Linked DNA regions of Caenorhabditis elegans. The protein of the gene in region 2 interacts with the protein of the main gene of each other region in a pairwise test. Each region holds a gene or a part of one and is shown on either strand. Other genes may lie near its edges.

Region 1 (3,756 bases), on a different chromosome or scaffold from region 2:
CAATAACTTACACAAATCGATTCGGCTTCCATAATTGGGGAATGATCAAGATGCATGATCTGAGCATTAGCCTTCTCCATATACTCTACACAATCGATCGCAATGAACAAACGCCCAACAAATCTGAAAATTAAACAAATTAGTTTAGTCTTCAACTCTCCAAGCCTACCTGCTCCCATCCTGCTGGGATCCTCGCATTTTTCTTGAGAAGATGCTGAATCGAGTCACGCGTTCGCAATCGAATACATTGAGAAACGCAGGTCCAAAAGTCGGAAGGTATCCAGTCTCTCCTGGCTCGTAAATCATTTTCATTGGAAGAGTGGCTTTTCCTATGCACGTTTTGCCTCGTCCCTTTTTGTCGAACAATGAGAAAATAATCTGAAAATCAGTTATAAAAATATCTTCGGAAATTGAAGAAAATAAGAGATAGGCAGGCATGTAGGCATAGACTGTCTACCATGTCTCAGAGACGCGAAAAAATACGGTCTTAAAATCCAAACTCATACCTCTGAGATGACAGTTGGCCATTGAATTGGAAGATAGATCTCTTGCTCAAACTTCACTGATGCGATGTTTGCATCTTCATCAAGAAACGCAGATTCCATTGTTGTTTCGGTCTTGTGTGCTCCACACTGAACCATCACATAGAATCTTTGCTTCTTCTTGATTTTCCTCTCATTGATCATCTGTCGGATGAGCTGTTCCACGGAGAACACTCTGATCTGAAATGAAAAGTTATTAGTAATTAAGCATCTTCAAGTACCGTACCTTAAGAGTATAATCAATGAGATGTGCTCCACTCCAGATTTGCTCCTTCCCATCGTCATCAATCAGCGTTGGTGGTGACTCGTCGATCCGGTACACAGAGAGCGTCACCTTCAGGAATCCACAGTTCTCATAGGCGATATCGTCCGGTTCCTCGTCATCCATTCCAGGAAATCCCAGAGCGACCCATTTTGCAATGACAGATCTGTCGGGAGAGTGAATTACTTCCGAGAGGTAGCAGCTGAACTCTCCGACGCTTGATTCACCAAGTGCTGTAGGACGCACGAGCTGGAAAGTTACATATTTGGAAATTACAGAGAACATGCTTAATCACTGATAACGCTTCAGAGCAACCAAAGAAAAATATTCCAATGTTTAAAAGTTTACCCGAAGAGTCAAAACTTTGGCAGCAAGCTTCTCCAGTGGCTGGTTCTTTATTGTGTAGAGAATATTTTGTCGCCACTTTGGAATTGCATGAGTAACTGTTCTTGTCATTTTTGAATTTCCGTCAAAGATCGTTCGAACTCTTGCGGATCCTGTGCTGACATCCTTTGCCTCAATAATTCGTACAAGAACATTCCAGGTACATGGCTTGTCAGTGTCCTGCAGTTTCCGTTTTCCAAAGCTTTTTCCATCATCTGGCAGCAGCTCGATGTCAGATCCACCGTCGTCCGATAGCTCCTGAAATTTGTAAATTAAAAAAAATCAAAACGTTCTCTCATTAATCTTATACTCAGTAACAAAATTGTGGCAGCTCTAATAACTCAAATTATCAAACTCGATTAGAAGCCGAAAATCGATAATCCTAAGAAATAAATGATTGATTTGAATGAAACTAGAACTTCATTATCATCCACTACCTACAAAACCGATACCAGTAAAATCGATTTTTGGTTTAAAAGATAACAGTTTCAATAAATAACTAGCAAACTATTGCGAAATATTATTGCCACGTAGATCTAATATTAGATATTATAATAAATCGATACTACCAAACTATGTCAACAATCGATAAAATCACTGTGGAACTATTTCGTACTAAACAAACAAGGAAAGGTCCATCTTTGTTCTGATTCTAAACTAATATTCCGAAACTAACAGTCATCTCCGATGTTCCCGTGCTCTTTCCCGATTTGCTCTTTTTGCTGGATTTGCTCGTCTTGCTTGTATTCCTCGATTCGTTATCCGAATCGTCTTCATCCCGATCTCTCTCCGGGCCGGAATCCTGAAATATTGCAAAATTTAAAGGAATTTAATAAAAATAAGACACACCACATCACTGGATGAATCCCCTCGCTTAAACTTTTGCTTCACTTTCAGTAGCTTTTCCTTGACCGTCATGTCGATTTGGTGGAAATTGAAAGAAATAACTTGGTTCCCGTGAAATTTTTGCAAGGGGTGTTGGATGACGTGGCAATAAATGTGGCAAAGCTGTGAAGACAAGAGAAGCACAGGTCACGTGAGAAAAGATACGTGATTCAACTTTTTTCACGTAAAACTTTTTTGTTTTTTTTCTCACGTATTTATTTTTGTTTCATTATTTTTCTGATTTTTAATTGTCAGCCAAATTGTAGTACGAAATTGGAATTCTCACTAGAAAAAGATGAAATTATCATGGTAGTGGACTAGTACGGTAGGAGTACTGTATTTTTATGCAAGCGCGAGTTGGGCGGGGAAAGAGGCGCCCCGTCACGCCTCGATCGGTTTTTTTGAGATGTTGTCAAAGTTGTCACTGTCTATAAGGAGTCGGCTGCGATTTTCGTTTGCCGAATATCAGTTTTCCAAAAGTTTTAAAAAAGATTTTTTATAAGAAAAAACGTGGTTTTTGATTTTTTTTTTTTTCCGTTTTCTTTAGACATACTTTGGAAATGTTGTTGCTCAAAATATTCATTGAAACTTTCGGGTGTGCTTCCTGGGTGCTCACTTCCTAATTCCCTACATTCATAATTCCGGATGACTCCATGTCATTTCCGTCGGCTCACATCACCGAATCCTCCCGCCTGTCAAACAAACGTGAAAAGATTATGCAATTGACAAAAGACATGAGTATCTTCAAAGGGAAACAAAATGTGTCTCCTGCTGAGATATCATCATCTGGTACGAAATCGAATGAGCACACCCCCATTTTGACAGACGGCCATATGCCTTTTGCAGAAAGGAGTTGACCCCCCACGGGTACCTCTAAAAGGCATGAAGCATTGTTGATTGACGAGCCGATTAGCGAATATTATTGAGGAAAGCTTTTGGATTGAAACCAATGTTATGTAATATGAATGATTAAATACTTTATGATTGTTGAATTATTTGAAGTTTGGCGAAACTGTAGTTATTGAAATTTTTGCCAAATGTGTGGCATTTGGAAAACAAAGATTTAAGCAGCAGTGAGGTATTTTTAAATAAAAAAAATATATCTCTTCTTTGTCACTACTTTTTATGTTCGTAAAATGAATCCATCGTTGGTTTTTACAGATGATCTCAAAATTTTCTAAGGGTATGTTAGTAATATTTTTCAAAGTGAAGGGCCTTTGTGACAAACTTCTCGGCCATCCTGTTGGAGTCCTAAATATATTTATTTTTAAACATCAATCAGCAAACTCTTAACAACAAGCATGATTTTTTTGAACATTTAGAAAATTAGATAAAAATTTGGATTCTTTATTTGCAGAGTCTTAGCTCTTCAGTTCAACGTTCCAAATTTCAAAAACCAAAAAAAGCATCTCAATTGAACAATTGTTGGCATGTTGTACAACAAAAAGGTCGAGAGGTGTCTGAAGTGACACGTGTCTTCCTATAAATTGCACTTGATAGACTGTAATGGGTACTGAGATTGAAAACACCTGTTTTGAGGGATATGGACACTTGGTACATATATGACTACTACATTTTACAGTCTTTAGTGAGATAATGTGGACATATGTTTGTGAATAATATGATGTAACTTTGAGACGATTCAGATTATGAATTCCATTAAAAATTGCAGTGCAAACCTTC
Region 2 (3,756 bases):
AATCAAGCATACACATAAAGAAAGGAGTGACACAACTGACAATTGTGATGAAAATATCTAATCGAAATTTAGGTCGCTCTTGTTCTGTCATTTTCCACTGACCTCGACTGACATACTAAACGGTGTCTAAGATTTTTAGAATGATAATGAACCAGAGAAACCTACCTGCTTTGATTCATTTGCCATTAATGGCATGACTTTACGAGCTCCGCGAAATGCACAATCTTGATCAATTTTTGTAAATTCTTTTGTGAGAAAACGGTTTTTAAAGTCGTCATTATAGTTGTAGTTATACATGAACCGAAGTGTCTGAAAAATATCAGTTCAAAATTTTGTATGTTAACATATTACTTATTTAAACTCACATAGATGAACGGCCATATGAGCAATCCTGGCATGATACAATATCGAAGAATAAATGAAATTATATTGATAATCCGTATGTATACATTCACAATTCCCATCAAACTTTTCTTTATACTTGCTCTCAAGTTTGCAGTTGTATCATCTGCAGCATTTGGTTTACCATCATCAGATGACTGGTATTCAGCTCGAATGTTTTTCGCCTTTTTTATCTCTTCTATCACTGGATTCACTTTCTTCAGTGCCCATTTTGCTGCTTCAATGTGTACGTAGAAAATCTTTTTCACCGCGAATTCAATTGCTTGAAAGTAAGCTGCATAAAATGGTACAGCTGCTCCTTTAACTCCTTTTCCAATGATAGAAGGTAAAGAACATACTTCCGTTGAGAAACCCTTTGCTTGATGGCAAATCTTAATGTTTTATAATAGGATTGATATGTTGACTGATTGAATACCTTTGCAGTTTTCTGAATCATTTCACAAGCATCGCCGTGGCTTCCAAAAAATCGAGCTTTCCCCTTACAATAAAAATATGCGTCGTCGAAAATATCAAGACATTTTGTATAGGGAGTTTTGAGCATATTTCGACATTGATTTGACAAGTTGGCTATAACTCGATAATGTCGCCTCATGATGTCCACAAATCTTAATTGAAACAATATCAATTTAATCAAATTACAAGAATTTGACATTTTGGGTATCCCAATTGCAACTTACTTTGTCATCTTTTCATCTAGAACCAATAGCATTTTCTTGACCTTATTCATTGGACCAGATACATTTTGAAGAAGTGCACGAAACCGAGAAACAAGCATAGCTCCTTTATCCATTACATTCCCTTCCACATCATTTCTTGAACTCATAACATCAATTTGAACGCAGGCAACACCAGAAGCTACTTGATGAATATTTCCAATAACATTCATTGCAGGACCCTGAAATTAGTTTGAGATGTTCCCGTGAATAGATGAATTGATAAAACTTCAAAAGCCATTGTGACAAGAAGAATTAAAATTATGTTTTTGATTTTTGTAGTCAACATGACGTGGATAGAAATCATAAAGTACGTCATCATCTGAAACGAAATATTTTATTAATTCCACATAAAAATCCTGAAGTACTTACTTTTGGAAATATCAAAGTGAAAATCAGAAAAACGTGGATAATTGTGGATATGGAAGTTCCAATACTATATTGAAAATATTTAACTTTAGATTTAGGATATGATCTACTTACAACTCCGGGTATTGTGAATATTTGAACGACAACAGAAAATACATAACTATTCCAAATAATTCAATCATTAGGATGTTTCGGAATAGAAGTACAATAGAATTAGCTCTGGAAAAATAATTTTAAGATTTTCTTTTTTCTCAAAATAATTCCAAAAACCTTGTTCCATCTTCGAATAAATTGTCATAAATCCCATCATCTTTTTCCTTTTTCCATGGAGGATATAAAACGGACAACCATTTTTTCAAACGTTCAGAATATCTTAAAACTCGGTTTTGACCTGATTTTTCTCTGAAATTTTTCATGTGTTTGAACAAAATCCACACTCTAACCAACCGTCTGATATTATTAACCACAAATTGAAACTTTCTCACAGCTCGATTGGCTCGACGTTTTACATTCCATAATCCAATTAAGCCCATAGTTGATACAATTCAGTTAGATTTTAAAAAGGTGAAATAAATATTTTCACCATGATACGTTTTGAAAATTTGTGAACCGCTGGCAAACAGATTTGAGTTCACGTTTTGAACATTTTCTCCGAATTGGGAAACTGCAGGTGTCCCTTTTCTCGGCTTTGCTTACTAAAGAGCCAAGAGAGCCAAACGGATTGGCATTTGAGACCTATGTGATTCAATAGCTCATGTTTTGAAACGGTTATACGTGGAAAAGTTAGAATAAGGTTTTCAAGCAAAATGTGCCTACTTGTGTGCCTATGAAACCAATTATTTCGAATTTTTCAGAACTACGAGCTTCAATGGAACTATAGTATACACTAACTATAGGATATACATCTCTCGGAACCGCTGGCAACAATATTAATTTTTCAAACATTTGTGAACTGAATTACAGAATACACGTTACCAAAAGTACATCGATTGTTTATTTCTTTTTATCACCAGAAGTACATCTGATTTCGGAACAGGCGTTCACTAATTTTCGTTGCTTCATTGCAATGAAAAAAACGAGTTGCTTATCGTAATGCTTGTTATCATATCACTGTATCTATTGCCACTTCATATCTCATTTCCTCTTTTTGTAGGCCGATTTGGGTCAATCCGATATAGAGAACACCTATAAACAAACCCCTTTTTTTTCATTTTATGACGTGAACATTCAGATCCTCAATAAAACGGATGGGTGTGGTTATGTTCTTGTCCCCTCGAACACAACTTTTAATTGTATTTCTAATTCTCTGAAGAATTTCAGATTTCTGAAGAGAAGAATTCAATTGTACTGTCATTCCCGTCCCTTTTTGGGGCTTCCGACGCAATGTTGCCTCTTTTCAATAGATACGACGAATAAAAAAAAACAAAAAACAAAGAAAATGATTTTGCTTCCGATTGCTCACCAGGCTTCAATCTATACTGTACATTTTTCCCCAATAAATATAAAATTTGGATAGTAGAGAGACAGAAAATCAAAAAAAAATATATCGTAACTTGTATATTGTTCCATAAGAGAGACGCACAAAAGGATATATTTGATGGTGTGTGAAACCCGAAATCGTCGTGGTTACCCCCGTTGTCGGCGACAATTTCAACAGACTTTTCATACTGACTGGTTTTCGGTCGACAGTCATTTTTCACCCACTTTCAATTTGACTAAACTTGGTCAGTGTTCGGTTTTTCATTGGTTACACAACCTTAGATTTTTTATTCTTTGTGTTTGATCCCTGATTTGACTAGAAAACATTAATTTGCTTGTTTGATACTCAATTTCCCATGTGCCAGTTTAATTTTGACAGTTGTAGGAATTCCTGGTTTCGTTAAAAATTAGTATTTCAACCATTGATTTGTTTTTGAAGGTATCTGTTAATCTATCAAGAATTTATTGTAAGAAACCACAAACTCGCCAAAATCTTGGTTTTGTATTTATTTTTCATATTTATTTTTTGTATTATCTATTTTTTAAACTCACTTTCTTACTGACTTGGCTTACATAAATAAAACCGTTCAAATTAGATGATAGATGACTTTCAAGAACTTAAAATTGGCAGAGAGTTACCTTTTTCAAAATGATGCGTATAATTCGGCACAATTTAGTTTTCAACACAATACAACATAAACAAAAAGTAAACAAAATTTTTAAAAGTTCGTCAATTATCAATTTGGTCAATTGTACGTAGTAATTGAATCCTTCTTTCCATCAACCGTAACCA

The links. The genes of interacting proteins can lie anywhere in the genome.
Region 1: the proteins of spe-42 (region 2) and fer-1 interact in a two-hybrid assay, tested with the Caenorhabditis elegans proteins (one study listed by BioGRID).

The regions. Positions count from the first base shown.
Region 1 is NC_003279.8:8,629,079-8,632,834, forward strand, and holds the start of fer-1 (Sperm vesicle fusion protein fer-1), read right to left. Parts: upstream 2,125-3,756; 5' UTR 2,107-2,124; coding exon 2,038-2,106; intron 1,991-2,037; coding exon 1,865-1,990; intron 1,447-1,864; coding exon 1,153-1,446; intron 1,054-1,152; coding exon 769-1,053; exon of another isoform or gene 723-768; coding exon 507-722; intron 379-506; coding exon 170-378; intron 124-169; coding exon 12-123; intron 1-11. UniProt on the Caenorhabditis elegans protein: Required for the fusion of the membranous organelles (MOs) with the plasma membrane, a process essential in spermiogenesis.
Region 2 is NC_003283.11:11,734,952-11,738,707, forward strand, and holds the start of spe-42 (Dendritic cell-specific transmembrane protein-like domain-containing protein), read right to left. Parts: upstream 2,046-3,756; 5' UTR 2,018-2,045; coding exon 1,932-2,017; intron 1,887-1,931; coding exon 1,755-1,886; intron 1,704-1,754; coding exon 1,599-1,703; intron 1,552-1,598; coding exon 1,488-1,551; intron 1,438-1,487; coding exon 1,345-1,437; intron 1,298-1,344; coding exon 1,080-1,297; intron 1,008-1,079; coding exon 818-1,007; intron 774-817; coding exon 366-773; intron 310-365; coding exon 166-309; intron 116-165; coding exon 1-115.